Linked DNA regions of Oryzias latipes. The protein of the gene in region 1 binds, or shares a complex with, the protein of each later gene. Links are inferred from orthologs where the notes say so. Each region holds a gene or a part of one and is shown on either strand. Other genes may lie near its edges. The genes, in order: b9d2, transmembrane protein 216, tmem107, tmem67, mks1, cep290 and ahi1.

Evidence for each region.
Region 2: b9d2 (region 1) and transmembrane protein 216 share a complex: the UniProt entries of both Homo sapiens proteins name them as parts of the tectonic-like complex. The link is inferred for Oryzias latipes from reciprocal best matches to the Homo sapiens genes B9D2 and TMEM216.
Region 3: b9d2 (region 1) and tmem107 share a complex: the UniProt entries of both Homo sapiens proteins name them as parts of the tectonic-like complex. The link is inferred for Oryzias latipes from reciprocal best matches to the Homo sapiens genes B9D2 and TMEM107.
Region 4: b9d2 (region 1) and tmem67 share a complex: the UniProt entries of both Homo sapiens proteins name them as parts of the tectonic-like complex. The link is inferred for Oryzias latipes from reciprocal best matches to the Homo sapiens genes B9D2 and TMEM67.
Region 5: b9d2 (region 1) and mks1 share a complex: the UniProt entries of both Homo sapiens proteins name them as parts of the tectonic-like complex. The link is inferred for Oryzias latipes from reciprocal best matches to the Homo sapiens genes B9D2 and MKS1.
Region 6: b9d2 (region 1) and cep290 share a complex: the UniProt entries of both Homo sapiens proteins name them as parts of the tectonic-like complex. The link is inferred for Oryzias latipes from reciprocal best matches to the Homo sapiens genes B9D2 and CEP290.
Region 7: b9d2 (region 1) and ahi1 share a complex: the UniProt entries of both Homo sapiens proteins name them as parts of the tectonic-like complex. The link is inferred for Oryzias latipes from reciprocal best matches to the Homo sapiens genes B9D2 and AHI1.

Annotation. Positions count from the first base shown.
Region 1 is NC_019863.2:10,016,708-10,019,724, reverse strand, and holds b9d2 (B9 domain-containing protein 2), read right to left. Parts: upstream 1,436-3,017; 5' UTR 1,270-1,435; coding exon 742-1,269; 3' UTR 587-741; downstream 1-586. Other genes in the region: poc1a (POC1 centriolar protein homolog A), read left to right, coding at 2,171-2,255, 2,350-2,521, 2,706-2,885. UniProt on the Homo sapiens protein: Component of the tectonic-like complex, a complex localized at the transition zone of primary cilia and acting as a barrier that prevents diffusion of transmembrane proteins between the cilia and plasma membranes.
Region 2 is NC_019868.2:30,552,850-30,557,226, reverse strand, and holds transmembrane protein 216, read left to right. Parts: upstream 1-1,258; 5' UTR 1,259-1,808; exon of another isoform or gene 1,809-1,931; 5' UTR 1,932-2,006; coding exon 2,007-2,016; intron 2,017-2,314; coding exon 2,315-2,328; exon of another isoform or gene 2,329-2,399; coding exon 2,400-2,493; intron 2,494-2,517; exon of another isoform or gene 2,518-2,598; coding exon of another isoform or gene 2,599-2,638; coding exon 2,639-2,731; intron 2,732-3,514; coding exon 3,515-3,716; intron 3,717-3,782; coding exon 3,783-3,798; 3' UTR 3,799-3,918; downstream 3,919-4,377. Other genes in the region: transmembrane emp24 domain-containing protein 9, read right to left, coding at 1-72, 275-375, 891-1,023. UniProt on the Homo sapiens protein: Part of the tectonic-like complex which is required for tissue-specific ciliogenesis and may regulate ciliary membrane composition.
Region 3 is NC_019874.2:18,549,605-18,553,971, reverse strand, and holds tmem107 (transmembrane protein 107), read right to left. Parts: upstream 2,867-4,367; 5' UTR 2,560-2,866; coding exon 2,473-2,559; intron 2,143-2,472; coding exon 2,075-2,142; intron 1,994-2,074; coding exon 1,893-1,993; intron 1,652-1,892; coding exon of another isoform or gene 1,555-1,651; intron 1,479-1,554; coding exon 1,382-1,478; intron 1,219-1,381; coding exon 1,149-1,218; 3' UTR 797-1,148; downstream 1-796. Other genes in the region: tripartite motif-containing protein 46, read left to right, coding at 3,358-3,417, 4,128-4,367. UniProt on the Homo sapiens protein: Plays a role in cilia formation and embryonic patterning. Requires for normal Sonic hedgehog (Shh) signaling in the neural tube and acts in combination with GLI2 and GLI3 to pattern ventral and intermediate neuronal cell types.
Region 4 is NC_019874.2:17,683,234-17,687,544, forward strand, and holds the start of tmem67 (meckelin), read left to right. Parts: upstream 1-1,447; 5' UTR 1,448-1,480; coding exon 1,481-1,682; intron 1,683-2,549; coding exon 2,550-2,644; intron 2,645-3,398; coding exon 3,399-3,489; intron 3,490-3,614; coding exon 3,615-3,714; intron 3,715-4,311. UniProt on the Homo sapiens protein: Required for ciliary structure and function. Part of the tectonic-like complex which is required for tissue-specific ciliogenesis and may regulate ciliary membrane composition.
Region 5 is NC_019872.2:25,021,672-25,025,538, reverse strand, and holds the end of mks1 (Meckel syndrome type 1 protein), read right to left. Parts: intron 3,601-3,867; coding exon 3,531-3,600; intron 3,462-3,530; coding exon 3,354-3,461; intron 3,236-3,353; coding exon 3,102-3,235; intron 2,533-3,101; coding exon 2,450-2,532; intron 2,365-2,449; coding exon 2,267-2,364; intron 2,084-2,266; coding exon 1,980-2,083; 3' UTR 734-1,979; downstream 1-733. UniProt on the Homo sapiens protein: Component of the tectonic-like complex, a complex localized at the transition zone of primary cilia and acting as a barrier that prevents diffusion of transmembrane proteins between the cilia and plasma membranes.
Region 6 is NC_019864.2:2,329,240-2,333,106, forward strand, and holds part of cep290 (centrosomal protein of 290 kDa), read right to left. Parts: intron 2,490-3,867; coding exon 2,412-2,489; intron 2,216-2,411; coding exon 2,146-2,215; intron 2,062-2,145; coding exon 2,015-2,061; intron 1,418-2,014; coding exon 1,286-1,417; intron 898-1,285; coding exon 844-897; intron 707-843; coding exon 686-706; intron 392-685; coding exon 245-391; intron 1-244. UniProt on the Homo sapiens protein: Involved in early and late steps in cilia formation. Its association with CCP110 is required for inhibition of primary cilia formation by CCP110.
Region 7 is NC_019880.2:267,514-270,791, reverse strand, and holds the end of ahi1 (jouberin), read right to left. Parts: intron 1,585-3,278; exon of another isoform or gene 1,363-1,584; coding exon 1,274-1,362; exon of another isoform or gene 1,182-1,273; intron 1,175-1,181; coding exon 1,006-1,174; 3' UTR 818-1,005; downstream 1-817. Other genes in the region: MFS-type transporter SLC18B1, read left to right, coding at 1-55, 120-194, 266-359, 483-529, 598-637. UniProt on the Homo sapiens protein: Involved in vesicle trafficking and required for ciliogenesis, formation of primary non-motile cilium, and recruitment of RAB8A to the basal body of primary cilium.

The DNA.
Region 1 (3,017 bases):
TAACTAACTCCTGACGTTCTGCAGAAACTACGTCCTAGTAAACAACACAGGTTTCTTTATTTTGGCTTAAAACTGCATAATCATAATTAAAAGACCACTGGGAACGCTTTTACAATACATAAAAAATGATTAGAGCGCGTCTTTAGATCTTTTTCAAAGCTCTTTAATCTATTTTACAACATTGCCATTATTTGAGGGCTTTCTTTTTCTAAATTAGAATACACTTTAACTTGAGTTATTATTTTCTTTTGTTGCTATGTTACATTGCACATCACATAGATTTAAAGTTTAGTGAGCATCACTAATGCCTTTTACCTTTCAAGAGGAACTTGTATTTTGCATTTAAAATCAATATATCAGGATAAATGTCCTGTAAAATGTCATACTATTAGTAAGGTCATCAGTTTTGTGACCTTAATGAGAGGTCATCTTACTTGAGGATTTAAGGTACATTTTTTTTAAATATCAAAATAAACCAAAGTCTTTGCAAAACTGTCTCATAAGGGGAATGAGGGGAGGACTGCTAGAAAATGTTATTAAAACCAAGTTAAAGGTAAAAACTAGGGTACAGCAAAAAACAACCAACTTCGATGACAGTATTTTATTTACACATATTGGCATTTTGAGTGATAATTGCAATTTGAAACGTACAAAAACGTGGAGAAGCGTCATGTGTAAATATAAAGCACGTGCCAGTTGAAATGTCATGGGTTTTTCGGAGTTGCTCCGTCATGTCACGCATCAGCTGTCGACACCATATTTGTCAAAGTGTCTCATAATTACACCGAGCTCCAGCTCCACAGTTCCCATGGCCTCGGTCTGCAGTCGGTATCTGTCCGCTCCGCTGTAGATGAGGTCCGGACTGCGGAGTTGTGGACCTCCGCCGACAAACATTTGGGTGATCTGTTCCTGCCAGGAACCGAGCGGCCTCCACGTCACACACTCTATCCGGTGGGTTCCGGGGCTGCACGGGACGTGGCAGTATCCGTATCCGTACAGCTGGCAGCGCCCGAACGAGTCCTGGTGCCACACTTGGAGGTGTAGCTTCGGCCAACCTTGCAGTCCTTTAGTTGCGAACTGTAGATCGATTGGGTGACTCCAGTAGGCCATATTACCCGTTTGGGGGATGTCCACTTGGGTCTGGCCCTCCTTCAGCCCAGAGAGAAGCCGCCATGCTCCTCCAGTATGAACTCCCCATTTGCAAAATAGACTATTTTGCGGAAAGCCTCTGGCCCCGAGGATTTGTCCTATAATATGCAGCTCTGCCATGTTACAACAGCCTTCTTTGACCAAAACATACGACTACAAAAAAGGCTCCTCCACCCTTCGCCAGTAGTTGCTAGCTTAGCGGCTAGCAACAGCCGCCGCACACGTCTCCCTGGCAACACAAACCGGTTTGCCGTCAGCGCTAAGATTTAACCCTCCTTTCTGACTGTCAGGCACAGCTCTCTGCTTAATGTGATTCCGTTTCTTACAAAGCAAGATAATAGGAAACCACTGGCGGGAAACTCGTGTGTCCCGTTACTAACCAGATTTTATTTTGGGGTAAATAGTCGGTGAAGGACAATAATTAACCACAATATTATACATTTGTATCCTGAAAAACTATACTCAGGGTTAAAGTTTCATGGTGTCTTGTTTTCATTTTTGTTCTAACTTTAAAAAGTAAACTTATACCTGCTCATTTCAAATACATTTTTTTAAATTGCCTTTGTCTGCATGTGTGTGTTTTAATTTGTATCAAACTGGAGGAGGTTACAGTGCCTCATATCAGAACACAGGAAAGAATAAAAGGAAATAGCCCCTTCAGTGGCTCTACTTTGTAGTACTCTGCAATGGTGGTGATATAGTTCTTTGCATTTATCAGCGAATACATTGCTATGTCATAATTTACGACATATAATCATAATAAATGTAACCATGACCATTTTTCTATTGTGATCAAGAGTGCAAAACAACATAGGTCTTTTGTGTACATATATATTTTATGCATTCTTAATGATTTTGATTGTTTTGTTGATTTTATTTAATTGTCCTAATGTGTTGGCTCACCCAAAAACACTTTTGATGCTTGAACCTATAGCAACAAACTTTTATTGGTTTTTTCAGGTTATTAAATACATTTTTTTCCTTGGGCTGATTTGGTTTTCTCTCTTTTTCTTTCAAATAGTCTGATCCCACCCTTGAGAGGCATTTCAAGGGTCACAGGGGTGCAGTGACGAGCGTAGATTTCAGTTGCAATATGAAACAGATTGGTGGGTATCTTCTCCTTGATTTTCCTAATTGCCAAAGTGTTTTTACGTTCAGCAAAGTCATTTTCTTTCTTGTCTGTGTTTTTTATTCTCTCAGCCACAGGTTCTGTGGACTCATGTGTAATGATCTGGAACATGAAACCTCAGATGCGAGCTTATCGCTTTGAGGGCCACAAAGACGCAGTCACGTCTGTGCAGTTTTCTCCATCGGGTCACATGGTCGCTTCGGCCTCCAGAGACAAGACTGTACGTCTTTGGGTTCCCAGCATGTAGGTTTTTTTTTCAATTTGTCATTTTGTTTACCGTTACTTTGTTTATCCTTCATAACAATAATGCCTCATCAGAGTAACAAAGCTGAAATCACTGAATGCCACTCATCATTTTTAAGTCAAAACTGGTCAAACCCACTGAGTTTTGTTTGATTTTCATTTGTGGTGATGTGTGTGCTTACAGAAAGGCGGACTCAACAGAGTTCAGGGCTCACACCGCCGCTGTGCGTTGTGTTAACTTTTCTGACGATGGACAGACTCTGGTAACAGCATCTAACGATAAGACCATCAAAGTGTGGACCGTTCACAGGCAGAAGTTTCTCTTCTCCTTCAACCAGCATGTCAACTGGGTTCGTTGTGCCAAGTAAGAGACACACTGCAGATGGATCTCTCATAAATGAAAGTATCGTGACACTTAATATTGGCAGCAAGGCATGACATAAAAAAGTGCCAGCATTCAGTCATCTAAACCTAAAGGCCGTATCACACTGCCACT
Region 2 (4,377 bases), on another chromosome or scaffold:
CTGGTGCTCTCCGGGCGTGTGCGACGTGAAGGTGAAGCGTCCCTCCGAGCCGTACTGCCGAGACAGGATCACCTGCAGGCGAGGGAGGAGCTTAGAGTCCACTCCACCAAAACCTCCACAGAAGACTAACAGCAGCAGCTCCAAGTCCTCCTCTGGATGTTTACGGAGGTCAGGACGCGGTTGCCGTGGTTACAGAGACCATCTAACGAAGAGACCTTCCTCAAAGTGAGCATCACGGCACTAACGTGTCAGGAGGACCTCCTCCGGCGCTTACCTTCTCGTCAGGATCCTTGACCTCCACAAACATGCCCAGACCCGGGCTGGCCGGCAGGTACTCCTCCTTCTGCTTGTCGTACAGCTGCGTGCGGTAGTTTCCTGCACACAAACACAAGCGCCCCACAGTCAGTGACAACATCCGGCTGAACGCAGCACTTCCGGTCCTTGGACGCGCTGGTCAGGACCGTTGGACCCGCTTTCCCGGTTCTGCAGGAACCTCAGGGAGCGACCGGTCCCAGACAGCTCCTTCAGAACGAACCATCATCAACTCTGGTCCGGACCTCCACCTGCTGGTTCCTCCTGGAGGAGCTGCCTGCCCATTCTCCAGGAGAACCGCTTGGGTTCCTGGTCTAGGTTCGGGGAACGGGCTGGATTCTTCAGGCGGTTTGGTTTGTTATCCGCGTGCTGATAGGATGAAGTTAGCTTAAACCGTCCTCCGTTCCCCGGTAAAAGACCGATCCTACATCCTCACCAACTTCTACTACGAGGTGTTCGCCAACGTCTCCGTTCATCAAACGGTTCACTAACTACTTCTGGCGGCGTTGGGAAACTTTTTGACGGCGAACCGGAACTTTGTGAGCGTTAGCCGCGCGGCAGCTAGCTTAGCCGCTCACCGATGATCATGGTCTCGTCCGGGATCTCCTCGATGAAACATTTCTTCTCGAGCTCTCCGATGTGGAAGTAGAGCGCGGGCGCGCGGCTGCAGAAGAGCGCGAGCAGCAGGAGCGCCAACACGCACGGCTGCATGCTGATCCGGACCGAACCGTCTTCCAGCCGGAACCACCGAGCTCAGACGGAGTCTGCGCGTCCGCAGCAGTGCCACGTAAACCCTGGCGCGCCTTCGACCAATCAGAGCGCTGCGATGGCAAGCTGGGTATTGTAGTTGTGTGCTGGGCAGAGCGGATGACATCAGAACCAGATTGTGAAGGTTCCTCCTCCTCCTGGAGTCACTGTGGGTTTTTTAATTCAACTTCAAAGGATTACACATTCATGTAACTACAATAGAAAGACATAACAAAAGAAAAAAAGAGTAAGATACAAGACAAATAAATAAATAACATTAGAACCGTAGTTCAGAGAACTAGGGATTGTCATTTAACATGTGATCTTCAATGAAAATTGACAGTTTTATTGCATTTAAAATATAAACAGATCTCTTTATGAAATGTATTGAATAATGATTTGATTTGTAAAAATCTGCCTTTTATAGATGAAAAATTTCCCAAAAATTAATAAAGTATTAAATGCCAAACTAAATAAGTTATCACCAGAAACGACTCCAAATAATACAATGTGTAATACAATGTGTTTTGTAACCAAATAGAAATAAGAAAATTTGAAGAGAACCACCAAAAGAAATCCTCCCAAAACCTGTTAGTATTTATACATTTAATAAACAGATGATCAAGTGTTTCTATGTTGATGTCGCAGAAAGAACAGTTATTTTCTTTAAATGAGGTCTCTGAGGGTCCAACAGGAAACAGCAACAGAAACCCGCATGTCACGTGATTTCAGACCATTGATGATAAAAGGTAACATCGACTAATTATGTATTTAGAGTGATTCAGTGGTGAAACTGAAGAACATCCATTAATAAAATAATGTGAAATTGTTTCAAATATTAGTGTCTTCTGTTTGCTCATCCTGACCAGCAGGGGGCAGCACGGAGCCCCGCCTGACGCTGTCCAGGGAAGAAGAGCCGTTTCCATAGCGACCACAGCGGCTCAAACATGGCGCCTGGTGAGTGTTTTCTTATCATCGTCGCAGAAAGAACGGCGCAAAAACCGCAGGCCGTCTTTCCCCGTCATTTTTCTGCAGCTATCAGAGACGGACGGAAACACTTCCGGTCCGCCGTTGATTTCCGGTTAGCGGCTAAAAACATTCCCACTCGGTGTTTACCTCTGAAACGTTCTTAAACCACCGTCTAAAGCTAAAGATAATCCGGTCCAACAACCGTCACGTCTCCTAAACGCTTCTTAAGCCTCACGTTCAGTTTCACTCTCAGTTTGACAACATTTTTGTCTCACCGCGTCTGCAGGGAGCCGACCAATCGTATCCTTCTGCTGTCAGAGGGGGCGGGGCCTGTCCACCAGCCGCAGTTGTCCTTGACCACGCCTCCTCAGCTGTCCTCCACGCCTCTGCAGGTGCTGCTCTACCTGAACAGCTGGTACTTTGCCGCTTTCTACCTGGCGGAGATCCTCATGTTCATCTACAAAGGTGTGTGGCCCCGCCCCCCTGCAGGTTCACCACGGCTTCACCTGAGAATGAAGCCGAAGGTGTCGTAGAACCTCCAGCCTGTCCTCTGTTCCTCTGCTGGACGTCATGGAGGAGCGTCTGACGGTTGCTGCTGGTGTCGCTGCAGGGATCCTGCTGCCGTACCCGTCTGACAATCTGGTCCTGGATGTGGTCCTGCTGCTCCTCTTCCTCGCTCTGGAGGCTCTGCGCATCTTTTACGGTGACGCCAAACACAAACATCTGCTTTGCTTTCTCCAGAACCGCAAGTGCGGCTGAGAGGTTCTGGAGAACAAAGATGGAACATGCAGGATGAAGAGGATGCAGACGGGCCTGACATTGGTGCTGGATGAGCTAACGTCAGAACAATCACGGTTCTATGCTAGCATGGAAGTGTCAGAAAGACCAAGAATGTGGTTTTCAGATTTAAAAAGGACTTCAGAGCATGAAAGGCATGCTGGGATGTGTAAACGATGATGATGCTGGAGATCAAAGCAGGAAGAAGCTTGGTTCCGTGTGTGAATGTGTGACCTTCATCGTTGTGTTCGGAGCTCCGCCTCTGAAGGTTCTGTTGAAGCGGAACCTTCGGTGCAGAACCTCTCCACGCCCGTCTGAGCGGTGGTCCAATGAGGAGAGAGCGTTCTCACTCTTCACCTGGACGGCCTCCCAGACGGAGGTGGAGGGTTCTCCTCCTGGGTTCCAGGGTTCTGTCTGTGGAAGTGACATGACCCCCCCCCCCCCCCCCCACGCCAGAATTTATATCCAGCTATGAAAAAATGATCAGTTGTGTTTTTGCTTTCAAGTTGAGGCTAAATGAAAGTCGGTTTGAGGAGGAGTGGTTCTTCCTTGCACCAGTGGGCATGAAGGGGTTAAAGCATCTCTGCAGACGTTTGCTGCCTGGAAACATCAGACTCAAACCTGCGGCGAAGCGTTCAGCCGCTCAGGCTCTGTGCTGGTTCTCAAGGCCGGCTGCAGGCGCTGACGCTGTCCCCCTGTGTCGATTCAGGCTGGAAGGGGAACCTGTGTGAGCGCTCCCTGACCTCCTGCCTGTCGCTCTTCATCCTGGTCTCTTGTGCGGCGCTCGCCGTCTACTACCTGCTGCTGCAGACCTTCGTTCTGCGGCTGGAGTTCCTGCTCTGCGCCGTCCTGCTCTGCTTCTACGGCCTGGAGTTCCTGCTGGGATTCATCGCCTTATCTTCCTTCTCCAGGTACCCTGAGCCCGCAGGCCGGTTCTGAGAGCCGGGAAGTCTTTGACCCTCGATGTTCTTGTGCAGGTCCAAGGTGTACTGAGGACAGAAGAGCGGTTCTCTGGAGCCCAGAGGGACACCAGGACAGTTGTTAGCATATGTGCCGCTGACACAAGTTTCTGTGATTCTTCAGGGATTTTTGTAAATAAACATTTTTCTGCAGCTTTGTGAGTTCTGTGTGTCACCAAAATCAGATGAAGCCGGCCACGGGCCACTAGAACCTCCACAGGTCTGAGTTTCAGCTGGAAAACCTTTGATCTGTGTTTGCATGAAGGCTGTCCGTCCTCTTTTCTTAGGAATCACGAGGCCGTCCCTCAGCTGTCAGTGCGCAGAAACATCTGCGCAGAAACGCAGACGGGTCCATCTGCGCAGAAACGCAGACGAGTCAATCTGCGCAGAAACGCAGATGGGTCCATCTGCGCAGAAACGCAGACGGGTCCATCTGCGCAGAAACGCAGACGGGTCCAGAAATGTAGATGGGTCCAGCTGCGCAGAAACGCAGACGGGTCCAGCTGCGCAGAAACGCAGACCGGTCCATTTGCGCAGAAACGCAGACGGGTCTAGCTGCGCAGAAACGCAGACGGGTTCATCTGCGCAGAAACGTAGATGGGTCCAGCTGCGC
Region 3 (4,367 bases), on another chromosome or scaffold:
ACATGCAAGGATCCGGTACTGCACTAGGAACAGAACTATTTGACTACCCGGACAGGTTTTCCGGAAGGACCAGAGGGTGGGACCTATGCATTTAGAAAAATACTTTCTTTAAAAAAAATTAAATTAACGAAAGTGTTTATGGAAAGACATAAAGCTCAACCATTGACTGGAGTCATTTTTAATTGTTTACAACATAAAACTACTTGTGAGTTCAGGTTTTTAATTACACAAAAGATTTACAGAATTAAAGGGATTTGATACTTTGGCCATTTCAGTTTGTGTTTTCCAGAACCAAATGCAGGGCCTGATTCTGTTTATCACAACTGCAATGGTTTGTCCGCAGCTGCATGCAGAAAAGCAGAAGGGAGGGATCATTACGTCAAAAAACCTTTCTTTTTTAGCCTATATTACAAAATTGACAAAGTCTTTTGGATAAGAGGTGAAACGTTTTCTAACTTTAAAAACTAAGAGGACAGCCCCTAAACTTACTACTATGATGGAATCAACCTGGATGAAAGAGAGTCTTCATAGACATAATTCTTCTATATTACAACATGTCTCACTACATTAATAATTTAGGAAAGGATTTTTCCTCCCTAAATCAATTTTAAATACTGTTTCTTTTTTTTGATAGCTGCACAAAAATGAAGTTACTGTTTCATGTTTTGTAACCTTGCGGTTCTGGATACTCTTGTCGCCCGACTTTAATTTATCTTCTGGCTCAGTTTGGTTAATATTTCTCTGACAATTAAGTCACCAAATGAGGATAAAGATAGATACAATGAGAGAAATAAGACTTATTTAAAAAAGTATAAATGTATTTTGGATTTAGCGTTGAAAAGCTTTACATGAGAAACAAATACACTACTGACAACAAAAAACTTGGTTTACATTTTAAACTTTTGCTAACTCTCCAACTTATTCAAAACAAACAACATAGTATAATTATTTTTTGTAATTACATAGTTCAAAATATATTTACAAAGATTGAAAAAAAAAACATTCTTTCTGGATCTATTGATGCCTGCTGAAGAAATTCTAACAATGTTGGCCCCTTTTTAAGGTGATCTAATAACTGAATTTCTGCAGCTACTGTCTTGTAGCAACAAATGGAAGCGTTCATCCATTCAATCTGAATCAACTCCTCTTCATAACGGCTTCTTCTTCAGTCCAAAAACCGCAATAAACAGAAGAATCTCCACAAAAGCTGGCAAGACACTGAAAGATGAGAAATAGAAAAAGAAATTAATAGAAATCCAGAAAGATAAAAGAACAATCCTTAAATGCATTCAAATTCCTTCAAAATAAGAGTGACTGTTACAGTATGCTGTCTTTCTAAAAGCCAACTATTCATTGAAAACAAGCATGCAGGCGAACCAACCTGCAGGTGGCAAAAATCACCCAGTAAGTCCAGCATTCCCATTGTTCAAACACAAAGAAAGACAAAGATACGGATGCGGAGCAGTGGACAGCTAATGCTGAAAGGAGCAGCTGTCAGGGAAAACTTTGGGGAAAAAAGGATAAAACGGATTTGCTAGGCGTCAAAAGACTAACCTGCAAATAGCAAAGATCCACCAGTAGATGTCACACTCCCACTGCTCAAACAGAAAAAAGAGCAAAGCCACAGAGGCACTGGCATGGACTCCTGTTGCTATAGCAGACAAGTTCTTAGTTACGGAATTGTAACTAATGACTAATAAGCATTGTTTAATCCATTCATTTATTCTTGTAAATCATGTTTTCTGCTATAAACCAGATGCTCATTTAGAAGCTAGAGCTGCTGGAGAAAAGACAATATCTGAAAATCTTTATTTTCCTCACAATTGTGAATCAATAGTTCAGTATCAATGACCATGACAAATATGAATCATCACTGTCAGTATAAAGGATACACAGAAGACCCTGGCTGGAACTGAACATGGAGACTCCTGAAAAGAAGCCTGCTAGCTCGATAGCAAACAGACCAAGAGTGGCTGACAAGGCTACAACCAACCTGAACAATAACCAAAGGGATGCGGGTTAGAATGTGAGCATTCAAGATTTTTTCATATATTTTCAATCATTTGTTACTTACTTTCTGTCTTCTGTGTCATACTGCTCCTGAGTAAACTCCAAAGGCAAACATGCCTTCACATTATTCTCCTAGAAAACAGAAACAAATACATAAAATAGCCGATTATGGTAACATTTCTAGATAAAAAATTGTTTATAAAAAAAAGGAGAAATAAACTTTTTGCAGCAAACAAAAATCTATATTTCTGCAGTTTAGGAAAAATATTTTGTGGAGTAGAATTTATTTCTATTTCACGATTTTTTTAAAAACTTTTGTTCTTTATTTTAAAATCACAAACTACACGTTATTGATATTTACAAAAAACAATAATAATATTAATAATAATAATAAAAAATATTTCTATGGCAGCTTGAGTCGTCCTTCAAGCTTTAACAACAACACGGACTGTCCTTACTTACCCTGGACCAAAAGATTGTGATGACGATGACAAGGTGAGCTATGATGGTGAGAAACCGCGCAGGAATTAGACTGCTAATAGAAGACATGTTGTTTCTGGTTCACAGAAGTGTCAGAAATGCTAGAAAATTCTAAATTTTAAAGCCAAACGGTCACGTTGGAGTTCACAGATCTCACACAACAGTCGTCGCTCCTGGTTCGCGGTATATCAACGCAACCGCGGTTCAATAAATAATCCAAAAATGATAATCAAGCATTTTTAAAGCCAATGAACTTATAAAATTAAAATTTTACTCTTTAATAGTCTTTTTTCTAAACAAAATTATACATAGAAATTTAACACACCCCGGTGTCGCATTGGGTTGCTACAACAGCCAGTGGCTGGGTGCATCCAATATTGCGACCCGTAAAAACATCCACCTTCCAAACGTTCCGGACACAAAAGGGAAGTGGATGCGACCCATCGCCTTTGTTGTTAAGCAGCACACAACACTAGCATCTAACGACAACACACACACAAAAATAAAACATGACAAAGTTAACGTGTGATTGTAGGATGAACATAGCCTCGCGTATCTAAAGAACGTAGAAAAGCCGATTTTTTTTTGTTTTTATTTTCTAAAAGAATGTTTTTTAAACGCTCCCCGATAAAGCTAACATTTTGGGGCAAAACGCCCCCACCCCCCTCCACCAGTTTCAGCAACCATTCCATTCGCATTTGGATAGACGACAGAGATTGAGCAGCACACCTCAAGCACAGCTATCTGTGCACGTCAGGGCCTAGTGTTTGCTACAAAACAGCCGGGGATTATTTTTCACACCCACTTAATAATCGTTTTAAACGAAACATTTTTTCTTTGGAAGCGTGCACATCAGAACAACAGAGCATGGCAGAAGAGGACTTCCAAACCTTTACCTCTGTCATGGACGCGCTGGTTCGTATCAGTGTAAGTGTGCGACGCCGGTTTATTCTAATATAGCCATTTCAAACGTGCTACATCTAAGAGAGGAAAAACAATAATGTAGTCTTACATATAACTTGCTTTATTGATAGTATGTTGATCTGGACAATCATGGCTATGAAATAAGAATGCGGAGCATTTTTCTACCGTTTACAAACATGTTTTGTCATCGCTTTAATAACCCGGAATAGGCTGAAAGCCACAGTCAGGTGGTGAATGGCAATAGAAAATATACAGTCGCAACGACCACATAATTCATTTTTAATAGATATAAGAACCTAAGAATGTTGCCAAATAGCATAAAATCAGGGCCAGAGGAAGATGTGCGTTGTCATAGAAACCGGATGCCGCGCCTTGTGGCTGCAGTAATGGAAAGGGGCCACCACAACCTAAAAAAAAAAGAAGCAACAATCAATGGCAAACAGAATGTTTCTGCATTGTTTGAATTGTTTTTTTTTATTAAAAATAATGTCTCAGCCAATTTACTCTTAGAAATAGGAAGCAGTGAAGCAATCACAGGAGGACTGCTAAGCATCATGGAGGTTACGTTCTTCTTTCCTTCTTGTCCTGTGCAATAAACGGCACACAACCAGAGTTCATCTAGATATTTCCTTCATCACTGCCATCATTTCCTTTCTTTAAATCAAGTCGCAGCTCTGTTGTCTTCTTGAACTTTCCTCTTCCCTCTTCTCCAGTCCAACATGAAGATGATGGAAAAGGAGCTGCTGTGCCCGGTGTGTGACGAGATCGTGAAGCAGCCCGTCCTCCTGCCATGCCAGCACAGTGTGTGTTTGCTGTGCGCGGCCGAGGTGTTGGTACAAAGAGGCTACCCTCCTCCAGACCTCCCTCCGGAACCCAGATCACCAGCCTCCTCGCCGAACACTCGGTCCCCACGCCAAACTCACAGACCCACACCCAGGACTCCTGACCGCTTG
Region 4 (4,311 bases), on another chromosome or scaffold:
AGAGCTGAGGCCAACAGTGCAGGTTCATTTGTAGAATGAGGAGGAAATAAGAGGAAACAAGGTGAGGTAGATGATGCTTGTATCTGTTTTGATCAAAATCACAGCTTCCATTTTGCCTTTTGTTGAGGAAATGTAGTTATCAAATATATAATTTTTGAATAAAACACAGGTTTGTATAAAATATGCTGCAAAAAAAGTAAGTCACACAGTCAACCAAAGTTAGCTGGGTGATAATACACTTGAAGCCCCTGCAACTGCTTTGAAGTCTGACATAAACAATAAATCACACTAATAAGCTGCACATATTGGGGCATGATGTGGTTGTACTTGAAATGGACGAGTACTGGTGATGAACTTAAATTGATCTTAGGTCACACTAAACCTGGTTGAAGTAAAAGTGAAAGATTTCCTGTATACATCTATGATATTTAGATTTAAAATTGGCTATCTGTTTTAAATGTGCTAATAAATCTTCTAAAACCTGAATCAATGTTACATTTCTATATTAAATGCTAAACCTTACAAAATAAAATTAATGCACAAAGATTTTCACAGCATGGAGACTGACAAAAAAACATCAGGTCCAAGCTGAAGTTTTTTTTTTCATTGATTGCATCTTCAGGAAGGAGCTTGATAGACCTTCACAATAACCTTGATAAAAAAATAATATTGCAAAATAATTTAGTCTGAGGCTAAGATGATATGTCTGGGTGGATGGTTTGAGGAGGCAGATGTCGTCTGCAAAGCAAAGTGTTTCTGGGTCATAAATTGACTTCTTTGTGACCCAAAGACGGACCAGCTGAAATGAGTGACAGAAAAAGAAAAGTTAGATTTTAATCCACAATAGCCTCTGGTCTTTGAAAAAGAAAGCTTTAAACTTTCAATTAAAATTGTTTCACTACGAGGTCAAATTGGTAAAGATCATTCTGCTATCTGTACCCCCCCCCCCCCCAGCTCAACTCAAAGTCTCTGTTGTTTCTGAATGTCTATGTAATCAATAGCAGAACATCAACAAACAAGAAAAAAACTAGAGCTAAAATTAAAATCACTGAGTCGAAAGTCACAAAAATATACTTATTTTTACTTGTGGACAAGGTTAAGTATTATAGTCAAATATACACATACATATATATATTGTTGCTGGAAGAGGCAACATTAATCCTTAGAGCTGCCTATATTTCGTTACAGAGAATCCCATTATTGTTATCCTCTGTTAAGACATCTTTTTAAAAGTATGAATGAAAACCATTATTATTTGATTTAGTCTATGAATCTTTGAGATTCTTCAAAGAACTTCAAAGAGTTTAAGAGTTGTCTTTTTTTATTCTTTCACAACATTAGTGATTTATTTATTTATCCTCACGGTGTCTCCAAGATGTTCTCTCCCCAAAAGAACATTTTAAACTTTTTTTTAAGTTGGAACGCCCTACGTCATGACGTGTTGCAAAGGATTGTGGGTAAAAAGGAGGACATTTTTACCATGGCGACGGGGACGCCGCTTGTTCTTGACAGGCAGATGTTTTGTTTTACATTGTTTTATGTGATTCATACGCACCTTTTCCATTGCCAGCAGTTTCTTATCCCCTTTAAAGATCCTTCCGGATGTGGTGTGAACGAATTTTTCGACATCTCGAGTTTGTCGTGTGCCAAATGCGGCGCAAATCAACGCAAGAGTTCTTCAGGTGGGTATCGATCACCACGCGATAAAGCTACATGATACAGTGTACACACTGTAAACATACCAACATTAGTGTATATATCTAAAAATAAAAACAGATAATTACATTCAAACGAGTTAAGCTCCAGCTGTTGAACAACCTCGAAGAAGTAAAAGCCAATTTGGTTCTAATTGTTTTCTGTTGCTAGCAGTTAAGATAGCCTTTACTTTACTGTATCATGTACATAAAGAAATTATTCTTAAAGAAAGTTTTTGTTAATCCAAATAATGTTTTAATATGTACACACTAATATATTATAGACTATTTAAGATTATTTAAAGTTTAAAACCTTAACCTTTAAGAACATGTTATAGCATGTGGTCTAAAAATCATATTTTTAGAAGTTTAATTGAATTACCATAAATATTCCCTAACTTGTATAGGAAAAATGGCATAAAGCTAAACAAGCAAACTCTGTTCAGCTTTAATGTTCAGAACAAGCTAGTCTCATTTCATTTTTCATGAAACAGGAAAGCTAATCATTTTTATTCTAAACTGATAAATGTTTCAAACTAGTTTAAATAAATGTACACTGACTGTTCTTATATGGACCTGCTTTGAGAGGCCATATAGGATTGCACTATTAATGTATGATTTGTTTAAACATACTGTTGTATCTAGAGAGACGGTGTGAATCTGAATTGACCCTCATCAAAACATCAACCAGCCTCTCTGGGTTTCTTTCTTTTTAAATTTAAATTCAAAATGCACAATATAGTTGTTGCAAGGATTTTTAAAATAAGATTTTTATTTAACTAAATATTAGTATTTCCTTTCACCATTGAAAACAATATTATTCTAAACTATAAAGAAATGTCTTGTCTTATATAGGTCTGAGCTGCATTTGTCAAACGGGTTACAAGACCAAACATTTTAGCAGCAACAAAGTCCCGTTTACATGTGAACAGTGTCCCCCAGACAAGCCTGTAAGTATAGCTTTCTTTCATAATGAATGTTCTGATTCATGTTTTTTAAAACTACTTCACAATTGAATCACTTAGTTCAAAAGGGGCCCAAGTCCACAATTTTTCAAAATAGAGACATTATATGTTCTATGGTCTTCAAGGGAAAAGCTATCTGATTATGTGCAAAAAGTCCCAAGTCCGTTGTAATGTACTGTCTATACTTGACATTTAAAATGCATTAAGTGCAAAATTCCTGAACTTGGGCCTTTCTTGCATGGGTTTTGCTTTATCCCATAGATGGCAGCACTAATTATCCAATATGGCAGCGCCCCTGTCAATGCAAGGGTGGGGTCATCTAAGATAGCACAAGGGTTAACCCTTGTACTATCTTAGATGGACACCAGTGAGGTTCAAAAATAATTGAAGAGAAAAGGTTCAGCGCACTGACTAGTGGGTCTAGATGACCCAACTCCTTAGGATAAAATGCCTAGGATAGCACAAGGGTTAATTCAAGAAGGGCCCAAGTCCAGAGACTTTAGTTTGCTAGTCCTCTGAAATTATAAAAGTGAGCTGCTTCATATTATAGCATTTGTAAGCTATGAACTGGTGCTAAATCTGGGTAAAGTATTAATCATTTAGTGTAGCCCCCCTTTAAGCTATGCAATTAAAATCATTTCCTGGATTAACAAACCTCTTGGACTTGGACCCCTTTTGAACTAACCGATTCAATTGATATAAATAAAAGTGCTTATTGGTGTCCTGTCCTTTATTATAGGCAGTAACGAAAGACGGCTTTGGTTGTATTCGCTGCCCCGGCAGACTTGATGATAATGGCAACTGCCAGTGCCCATCTGGAAATATCCTAGGTGAGTTACCAGTACAATGAGAGGTTTACAACCCAACAAAAAGGGTTTTCCCTAAAAGCTGTAAATAAGGGTAATTGTAAGTTTTTTGGTAGAAAACTTTTATAAATTTTTCTTCTTTTTCTCAGTTGAAAGAGACATTAATGGCACATTTTTTGATGAGGCCAGTTGTGAAGCATGCATTGGAGACAGCCCTGCCTTCACTGCACCAAACAGTAATGGGGACAGGTAATTATATACAGTACAGACTTAATATTCATGAGAATTTCATTTAACATATTTTACTTAATAGAAAACTCTAGTTTTCTGAGAGGAGGTGCTTTGTGCTACATTTGCACTGTTAAATAAAAATATTTAGGGATTTACAAAGCGGAGCGATTTTCATTATATTGCATAGTGGGTCATCTTTACTTTAGTGGAAATGAAAAATAAAAGTCAATAAAAAAGTGATTTTTTTTTTGTTTTGTTTTAGTATAGGGCAAAACAAATTTGACAATTTCTTATATTCTTGTTGTATCTACAAATATCTATGAAATCTTTTTTAAACTTTTGCTCCGATTTTCATTATTCAAACAAATATAAAAATAGTTAAACATGTATGATTTGTTGTATTTCCTCATATCTTTATCTCTGAGTGTTAATATTTACTTTTGTGTTATAAAATTGTGTTGTGTCATTGAAAAGTGTAAATGGGTAGTTTCAGCAGGAATGTTCAAACTTTGAGTTTGCCCAGAAGTTGTTCTGGACAAATCTCAAACGTTTATATACTGTATGTATTAATTTTGTGGTTTTTAAAACAGTGACATTATCACCATAAAATGCTTC
Region 5 (3,867 bases), on another chromosome or scaffold:
CAAAAGTATAATCAAAACAAACGTGTAGATATCTACTTGTATTTCATTTTTAACAGTTTCATGTTCAATACCTGGCTGCGGTTACGTGAGCCGGAAAATAGTCCAAGAGGTCGAAGACGTAGGTTGGTCCTGTGCTTGGTGGGGAAAAAGATGGAGAATCGGGATATAGATGGTGAGTTCACGATCGTAGGAAACTGGAAAACTTCCTACTGGAGTGCAGAAAAGTGGGCGTGTGAACATGAAATCAATTTTTTTTTCATGATTTGGAGCACAAACTCTGACCCAACCGTTTATTTTAAAACAAAAATGAAGCTTAATTAATGACAATTTTTTAAGCCATGTTCATGTTGGTGTTTTTATTTGCTAGTTGTTTTGTTGTTTTAAACTATCAGAGCATCTTACTTTTAACAAGTAAACGTGCAAGACTGCAGGTGTTTATATTATTGATAGTTTAAAAGAAAAAAATGCAAATTACAATCTTTTTTACATAGTTAAAGATTAAATTGCAAGCACATAAAAGCCTTTCTAACCTAGGTCAGTGTTGTAAATCCTCATAAAATCAAAGAACACGTTCTCTAAAAATAAAATGCATTAGTTTCTTAACTAAATGACGCTTCACAAAAGATAAAAATCTATTTTTTTTTCATTTGATATTCACTGAGAAACAGCATACAAACAGCAAAGAAATCAATTAAGCTTTATCAAAAGCCCATTAGGGTCAACTACCACAATCCATGAAACCAATACTTTATTTTTCACCTGTAACTTATATACAGTGTGGCTTCAAAATTATAAAAATGACATAAAAAGTTGGGTTTGTTTTAAAAAAAAAAAGGATGTTGCTTTAATTAAAATAACAAATGTATAACAACAATGAAACTTCAAATATTTTGTAGCAAAAACATTTATTTGTAGAATTATATGCAATAAAATGCAAAAACTACCCCAACAAATTAAAATCAGCTGATTTTTTTTTCCTGACAGTAATCCTGAGAACATGATCTCTTTTAGCCAAACTGGCATCGTTTTTAAAATCCTATTCTGAACCAAGCACCATTCATCCCTGTATCAAGTATAGCAAAAGAACAGATGCATAAATTGTGCATAGGCTGATCAAATGAGAATGACGAGATCCTTAAGACCGGCTCTAAAAAGAAGGAGAAGACTATAGAGATTGCTTGATTTGTGAAAAAGATGTTTCAGGAGGATTTCAATTTCTATTTTTACAGTAGACTGTAACAATAGTTTTGTACTGTTAAGGGGCAGATCAATAATAATTTAACTGAGTTTAAATGAGAAAAAAGCTAAATGTCTTTAACTGAAAGTTGGTATGGTGCTTCATGGAACCAGGTTAAAGTAAAGCAGCAGAGGGTCAGGTAAATTGAGATTAGCTCTGAGAAGATCCTTTTGAGGGACATGAAGCAAGAGTCTCTGTTTTGCCCCAAATAGACCCGTTGATGTAGGGAAACGACACAAAGGCTTTCCTGGTTAGTGGCTAATTCAGCTTCATTCTGTTAATCACTAGGCTATTTCTGACAGTAAAAAGTAAGCTTTAGTAGATTTAAACAGCACCAGAACATTTCTCGTATCTGCGTACATCAGTAGGTACTGGCAGAACATGAGCGCAGCAGCTTCTGTAGAGGGCAGGAGGTGAAAAGCAGCTTAGAACTTGTAAAAGAGTTAATTGCAACAAAAAAAAACTCCCGAGTGGATTTTCAACAAGTTCCTTAGCCATTAAAAACTGCTGTGAAATTTGCCTGTAGTTTCTAAGGCAGGTGTGGTCACTTTTTCCACATTTTGGTGGATTGATGTATGTTTTGCATCATTACAACCTGACAAAGTGACTTATTAATCCTTAAAACATGAAATGTTCCACAGATGCTCACTGGACCGGTCACTAGAGAGTCATCTTTGCAAAATTCTGAGTCTGTGCCAGGATCTTCTTCCACTCAGTCCCACTGAAAGTTTGGTTTTCAGTCTCATGCTGAGGATTCCTGTTGGAGTTGGGAACCAGTGTTTATTACGCCTCTCGGAAAACTTTCTCTGGCCTCCTGCATCTTTTTCCTCGCTCTCTGAAAAGCCTCTGACAGAGAAAAACATGAAACGTGTTAAATGAAACTATTATTAACATTTAAATACAGCACATTTTAAATCCTAATTGCATCCCAATAGCCCAACAAATGTTGATCCCTAAATAAAGTTCAGACCTCCAGAATTTCAGTGCAAAGAGGCTTGGAAGTCAAATGGATTTTTTGTTTTTTTTTACCCAGAATGTTGCAAACAGCTCCTTGTTGACTAAATCCTCCCAAATGCTCAAAAACCTTCTGTCTCCTCCTTTTCAGAACAGCAGCATCCACAAATGCCCTGAAATGTACACACGGACACAAAAGACCACTGTAGTTATGTTGCTGGCAGACTGAGACCTGTTTGACGCTTACCTGACACTCACCTGGCTTGCTGGATGCAGTGCAGGTTAAAAGTGACGCTTCCTGTGGTTACAGTGCAGAAACCAAAGCGACTCAGCCTGTCCCCCTGATACAAAAATGTTAGAGAATAACAACAAAAAACATACACATACTGTAAATACTAAAACACCTTTGTTTCAATCATGTATCAAAAGCAAGTCCCTGTTTATCAAAAACCCAAAGAAATCATTTTTTTCAAAGTCTGTTGGTTATTCTGATATTTGCACTCCGTTAAATGGTTTCCACCAGAATGTCACAGTAAATGCAAATTATTGATTTTTTTATTCAAAAGTGTACAATTTAATTCAATATATAGCAGCAAAAATTAAAATAATCATCAATTTGTTTTCAGATTTCTATCCTAAGTCCAATTTTTTGGATTACTTAAATAGTGATTTAAAAAAAGAAAACGTTTAATTTTTGCTTTGACAAATAATATTCACAAAAATGTATTTCAGAAATGGAAGAATCAATAATTTTATTGAAGTTAGGATTGACTCAATTTCAACTGACAATTGAAACCCAGCTGCCCAAGGAGTATGTATCGATAAAATCACAACATATTTATTTAACTTTATACCTGATAAAAATCAACATCAATTGTCTAAAACTTTGTTTGAGCCAGCTTTGATTCACCTTGAATGTTCCTGGAGTTCTGACATAACTGTCATCTTCAAGCTCAGCAGAACCTCCAATAAAGAAGCGCTTCATTGCAGACACAGTCCCTGTCTGAACAGGCCTCCATGTGTGACATGTCATGGTATGTTTACCTGGTATACAAACACAAACAAGATGTAGAAACACTAACCATTTAGAAATCCCTTGATTAAATGTGAACAGTAACAAAATAAACTGAATTTAAATGAGATTTCAGGAAATACATCGTACCGGGCGTGGCAGGAAAAAGCAGATAACCATAGCCTTCCGTTCGATAGCGCTGCCAGAAGTCCAAGGAAAGAACCTTGAAGTAAATCACTGGCCACTGAGGAATGCCTTCTAAAGTAAGATAAAACCTGGATTCATAAAACATAAACTATGCTATAATACTTAACAGCTGATACTAACCTTCACCGTCTTTTTGCTTCATATAAAGAGCCTCAAAAGTGAAGGGATAGCTGAAGAAAGCCACATCTTCCTGTAGACGGAGAGTTTGTTGAGGGTTTAACAACTTCCACTCAAAAAAGTGGTTTAGTCTCTTACATGCAAGTTGTTTCTCTTTCGGCTTTTCCCATCAGGGGTCGCCACAGCGAACGAGCCGCATGGTAAACTTGGCAATGTTTTACGCCGGATGCCCTTCCTGACGCAAGCCTCTCAAAGCAACCGGGCTTGGGACCGGCACAGAGGTAGAGAAGGGAACAGGGAGCAGCCCGGATTTGAACCTGGGTTTCAATTCAATTCAATT
Region 6 (3,867 bases), on another chromosome or scaffold:
TTTTTTTTCCCAAAAACCTTTGGGAAATTTCTAGGACATTGGCAAATGCAAAACGCACTATATAGTGAGTAGTAAAGGAATTTCGGACACTACCCATATTTTTCTGAGGATTGCATGAGACACTGGCCTACACAGCGACCCAGACTTCACACTGAACGACCCAAGTGGGTTTTCCTGAGGTTTCTGTCTAAACCACAGACTTGCTGAAGGCACCACATGCTACAACCAAAACATTTCCAAGAACCTGAAGGTCCTCCAAGCATTGGTAAAGCTGGCGGTTGGCCAAGTTGAGCTTCCTCTGAGTCTCATCGGCCTCATCTCTGGATGGTAGCAGAACTCTCTGGTCCAGCTCTCTACGATAGAAATCCACATCCTGCTGCAGTTGCTCGTTCTGTTGTGGCACAGGAAGGAGGGAATTGATTTCAGGAAAAAGAGAGGAATGTCCTACAATTATAAACTAATGCTAAATAGCTATCTTTTCCACATTTCACTATTTGGATAGCGTTGTCTTTTGGACAGCCTGTACATGTCATGGTACACCTTCAACCTCATGGATTGCAGGACTGCCAACTTATTTATGCTAATGGAAAGGTAGTGTCAAAGCAAATACTGGAAGATTAAACACTAGCAAACTCATGCTAACCAAAACATTGTTTTACAACACATCACTCCCTAGAAGTCTTACCTTTTTCTTATGTTTTTTCAACTATACCGTGAAGCAGAAACCCAGAAGACAGGATGAGCAAAGACGGAGGATTTGAGTGAAGGTTTTAGGTGAAGTCATGACAAAGTATGAAGGGGATAAATCGTTATCTGAGCAATGTATTTCTGCTTCTGACATACCTCTCTCTTCAGCTTCTTCACCTCGTCTTCAGCTTCCTCTAATCTCTTCGTCAACTACGAAACCAAAAGCAAGGTTTAATACCAAATCCTTCATTTGCATTTATAGTTCAAATATTTGTCAATTTCTACACAATAAAATCTTTTCTGCAAGTTTAAATAAAGCTAAAAATATTTACCCATTAATAGAATATCAATTGGAAAAGTCGTATCAACAATTTCTTTTGGAGAAAGGCCAAAACAACATTTATAAGCTGATCATTTCAAAATGTGACTATCATTGGATTCAGAAAAGGTCACTGCCACATGTCAGGATAGAAGAATGTATTTAAAGGGTTCACCAGTGTAAAGTCCCATTTTAAACATTACAGAGGATCTTTAAAAGCTCAACTCTTCAGCCTGACTTCTATACGGAGCATTTGCACAATGGGTGGCACACGCTTACCTCTTGATTGGTTTTCTTTTCCTTTCCCATGCCTTTGTTTAACTGGGTCAAGTCCTTCTCTCGTTCCTCCAGCTGGGCCTCGAGCAGCCGAATCTCCTCTCTAAGAAAGCGAGCATCTGGCCCAGTGCCGAGCTGCTTTGCCATGTGGACCGGAAACAAGACAAACACAATCCCAAACAACTCCCACTGGGAAATCTTTTAGTCTTTCATCACCTCCATCTGTTTACAGGCCTAACATACAAGCTTGCCAACATTCTTGTTCCCTTTAACAGAGATTGACAATTATGTTTTAACATTTGGAGGATGACTGTGCATGCCATAGTCATTTAAAACAATCTAAACCAAAACACCAATCAAGTTAAAACAAGAAATGAATGTGCTGTGCGTGCATGGAATTAAATGTAATCTTCTTAGGTGCTGTGTCTCTGTGGTCACTACAGCCAATCCTGTGGTGGCCAGGGTTGCACTCTGTGATTGGCTCAAAGAATTGGCTCTGCTGCCAGAAGTAAATAGGCATGAAAAGTGATTTCACGTCACATGCATGAATGACGTGTTTTTATTTCTTTTATTTTGCCTTATTAAATTTGCAACAGTGGCTGCAGTCATGCTTGCAATTACAAAAAGAACATTTTAGTAGTTCTTGGAAGAACACAGAGCACTCTGCAGCAATGCACACATGAAGTGCAGAGGAACTAATGGACCAAACTAAACCTCAAAAGCCTTACTTACCTTTAGATCTTGTTCCAGCCTGGATATCTTTGCGAGGAATTCCTTCTCTAAGGGATACAGAAATTAAAAGCTGTGTTGTTTGTGTTTTTTAAGCTAAAAAGAAAGCAAGGTAGGTGAAACCGTGCACTGACCAGTTTTGGCATGTTGCATGCCGATCTCATTTATGAAACTATCACTGAGAGCAACTTCCCGATCTTTCCTCTAAAGGGAAAAGAGAGTTGACTTAAAAATGACAGGCACGTATCAATAATGGAGTCAGCATGTGTCCAAACAAACATCTGCATCAAGACTGTGTCTTGCACATAGAATCTTCTGTCTTCATAGAAGACATGCTGGTGGGGCAGTTAACAGATGCTCAATGTAGAGATCAAAGTGTAGAAATAATAAAACCTGACACCTTCAAGAGGGCCTGACACACCCTGAGGATGTGAATAATGTCCTCTGGAGCTTTATCCTTCACCTCCCATTCTTCTGTCTGTGTGGAGAAAAAATGGTTCAAATGGCAGAACTGCCAACAGCAGAGTCATTTTACATCATAATAAAACAAAAGTCCAAACTTAAACAGCGAGAGGTCAAACCAAGAGTGTCTGTTTATTTACAGCCTATAGGATTATTGCTACATACACACATTTTTCCCCAACTCATAGCAGTTTAAAGACACTGTTTATATTTTAAAGCTGAATCAGCAGCAGTGGGCTGCTATGTGAGATCTCCAGTGAGAGCAGGCAGAATCAAAGCTGCTGAGTGGGTACATTCTGCTGACTTAGCCAAACAGCTAAAGGTTGTCTTCATCCATCTATCCCACTCATCCGGGACCAGGTCGCAGGGGCAGAAGCCTTAGCAAAGGTACCCAGACTTCCCTCTCACAGGTCACTTCCTCCAGTTCCTCTGGGGGGATTCCAAGGTGTTCCCAGACCAGTCTCTTCAGCCTGTCCTGGGTCTTCCCTGGGGTCTCTGCCCAGTGGGACCTTCCCAGGGAAGTGTCCAGGAGGCATCCAGACCAGATGCCTGAGCCACCTCAACTGGCTCCTCTGGATGTGGGGGAGCCGCAGTTCTACTCCCAGCTCTCTCTGGGTGACATGCAGCCACCATGCAGAGGAAGATCCTTTCAGGCGGTTGCATTAAGGGCCTTGTTTTTTCGTTCATGACCCAGAGTTCATGGCCATAGGTGAGTATTGGAACAAAGATTGATCGATAACAAGAGAGATTCGCTTTTCAACTCAATAAAAAACCGACCATTGACTGAATAAGAGAACTGGGCAGAGTCAGTGTGACGTCACCCTTAGAAAATGGTTTAATTCCGGCTCCAACCTAATGCATTTAATTAAGTTACCATTTTTCACAATACGGTTCCACCAAGTCGGAGTCAGACGACGTCTGCAAGCAGTAGATTGAATGGTCCGAGTCAATCTGAGTCAATGTCTCTATGGCAACCACTCTCACCAATTAGGAGTACCGGTAAGCTTGTTAGAAGTCCATTCCCCTTTCACTAAAAGTGGGCTCGGGAAAGTCTGTCGATCATACATTTCCAACATTCGAGGTAGGGGCCAGTGGGCACCACATGCTTTTATTGAGGCATCTGATTGGTCTGTTTATTATGAAAATATCATTTTAAAAAATAAGGATTATTAAGAACATGTTAAAAACAAGGAGAAGAGAAAGAATAGTTATTTTGTCAAATAAACCTACAGAGTTTTAGCTGTTTATTTCTCATAGAAGTCTATGGGATTTTGGCTTCTTGGAGACCACAGTAACTTGCTGTTTGGAACGCAAGAGGGGAGGGTTTACTCAGTCCAGTTCTCAGTCAATGGGACAGAGAGAGCAACTGCTTAACAGCAGACACTTCTCCAATC
Region 7 (3,278 bases), on another chromosome or scaffold:
TTTCTCTGGGGATGACGGCCATCCCCACGTTCCCGGAGATCATCGTCTGTGCTCGGTGAGTCGCCTCCTGGCCTCCTTTGCCATCAGAGTCTGGTGTGACCGTGTTCTCTCCTCTGCAGAGAGAAAGGCTTGGAGGAGGGCCTCAGCACCCTGGGGATGGTCTCTGGGTTGTTTGGTGCATTTTGGTCCACGGGGTGAGCGTCCCACCACAGAATCGCTGCATGTCTTTGATGTTTCTGGCCTGAAGTGTGGTCGTCTCTTACAGAATGTTTTACGGCCCCATTGTGGGCGGCCTTATCACCCAACATCTGACCTTTGAGTGGGCCGCCACCATCCAGGGGGGCGTGGGCCTTCTGGCTGTGAGTACTCCTGACTCTGCGGGGGTGGGTCCTCATCTTTGACCCACTTTGAAGGAGTCATGAATGTGATTAGCTCTGATCAATCATTAACCCTTTGTGCAGTGAAGCTGTCTCTGTCCACAGGCCCTCCTCCTGGGGATGTACTCCCTCTGGGAGCGCCGGCGGGGGAGGTAACGTCAGATCCATCATCAGGAATCTTCCTCATCAACCTGAAGTCTGAGAGTTTCTGTCTTTGCAGCGTGCAGCAAACAGCAGAAAGCACTCCTTTGCTGGACTGAGGAAACATCTAGGGGCGGGGCCAGCCGCTCTGCTCACGGAGAGAAGATCTGAACGCCATTCCTGCCAGAACGGGCCTTTGTCCGGAGCTTTTCCTGCTTAACAGCTTAGGTCTGGTGAGCGGGATTATTCCCCCAAAAACCTCCAGAGAGCGGACAGGAATCCTGTTCACACGGAGCCGCTTGTTTCACGGGTTTTTACTGTAAATAGTACAAAATAAAACTTTCCTGAACACAATGTTCTTGTTCCTCACACAAACACCTGCAGCCTCAAACACCAAAGATCTTTGGGTAATTTCTGACGGAGAACGCAGCAATAATGCTGTGGAGTATTAGTGACATCAGAACGGCTCTCTGGGTTTGTCCACAGTTTACGTGTCGGCCTCAAAGGCCCTGTTGGACCTCCCCGCTGGTCTCGGTGGCAGAGGTCTGCCTCTTATGGTTCTGGTCGACCCAGAAGTATCTGCGTCAGAAACTGTAGTCTGAGATGAAGACACAGGAACTCCAGGCTTTTTCACCTTCTTCTTTCTTCTGGTTCTGCTTTCAGGAAAGAAATGGATCCTTCAGGAACTCAGCCAGACATGTTTGTGTTGGGGTAACTGGATCTGTGTGGTTCTGGAGGATATAGGAGCTTCTTACCTGGCGTCAGTCAGTTCTGGTTCAGTGTCTGACAGAGTGGGTTCGGACAGAAACCTGAGCTCTCCGGACGAGCTGACAGCAGCAGAGACCTGAAAACCAGGAGGGGGTCAGAGAGGAACAGTTCAGACAAAGTCCGTCTTTAGATCATGACATTCCTGAATGATCCGGATCGGCCGTCTTCCTGTTAAATATAAGCCGGATTTCAGGAAGATGGTCTTTGTTCAGCATGAAGTCAGTCAATACTTTAGTTTGCATTAACATGAGCAGAGAAGGCAGAGTTTGGTTCATGTCTAATAAAAAAAGAAACTGACCATCTTCTGGTCTGTTTTCAAAGGCTTCCCAGAACGGAGCGAGCAGGGAGCTTGTGGCCCCGCCCATTTCACTTGCTGCTCAACAATTTGAATATAGAAATACTCAGATATGCATTTTAATCTTCTTTTATGCAAGTTCTCCATTGTGAGAAAAGGCCACCAGTACATGTTAAATCACCGATGCCATCGGAGTGGGTCTTTGAATCAGAAAACTACGGTCTCGCCAACAGATTACAGAATATGTTCAATATATATATTAATATATGTTAAACCGGTTCATGGCTGGATGCAGAGCCGATGGTCTGTGGTTGATCTTTAACGGTCAGATCTATCATTTGTTACTTCTGTAATCACCACTTTAACTGCCTGATGGGAAGTTCTCAAAGGGTCCGGACCAGTCCAGAACCACCCAGACATCATATAAAATATGATGATATGATAAATATATCATATATCATATATAAAAATGTTGCACTTCCCGCTCGGCCAGCAGGGGGGCGTGATCCTGCTGGATCATTTGATTATTAATGGAAGCGTCTTAACATTCCAGGAACCAAAACCAAATGTACTCCTGTTGAGGGGAGTTTGTAATGTGTTTGTAAAGTGTGAATGAACCCACTCACTGTCATAAGCACACCCTGGACCTTGTTCTAACCCATGGGATAGAGATCAGCCAGCTGAGTGTCCTTCCTCTTAACCCCATCATTTCTGATCACTTTCTGATTACCTTCCAGTTTACACTGGAACATCCTTCTGTCCCAGTGAATAAGAAACAGCTTAGAAGAACCTTAACTGACCGTTCTGTGTCTGAGTTTAAACACACAGTTCAGCCAGTACTTAGTGATATTCTGAGAAAATACTCTGAGACCAGCTCCCATAGTATCAGTCCTAGTATAAATGACCACTTTGTTAATGATGCCTTACAAGCCCTCAGGAGTACACTCCATGTTGTTGCCCCCTTGAAACCTAAGTTTGTTAGACAAAACCGAGTAGCACCGTGGTTTAACGCTGAAACTCGTTCTCTTAAACAAGAAACCCGTAAGTTGGAAAGAGAATGGCGCCGCTCCGGTTCAGAGCAGTCTCTGAATACCTGGAAACATAGCCTATTAAATTATAAAAAAGCTCTGCGTAGAGCTAGAAGCCAGTACTATTCAACCTTAATATCAGAGAATGGAAACAATCCAAGATTTCTTTTTAGCACTATAGCTAAATTAACTCGCAGTCAGAGCTCAGTAGAACCACATGTTCCTGTTTCTCTCAGCTCTGATGATTTTCTTACATTTTTCGATAGTAAAATCTCAAATATTAGACATAAGTTAAATCAAGTTATTCCTACTATCAGCCCAGAACAGGCTGAAGCGGTAGAAATGGAGGCATCCATAGAAACCTCTGTAACATTGGACTGCTTCACTGCTGTGGATCAAGCGGAAATAACATCAATTATTACGTCCTCCAAATCCTCAACGTGTCTGTTAGACCCAATTCCCACTAGACTTTTTAAAGAAACTTTTCCCCTAATTAATGATCCCATATTAACAATGATAAATACCTCTCTGGAAACGGGTTACGTGCCACAGTCTTTTAAATATGCAGTTGTTAAACCTCTACTGAAAAAGCCCAGTTTGGATCCTAGCATCTTGGCCAACTATAGACCGATATCAAACCTGCCCTTTATTTCTAAAATCCTAGAAAGA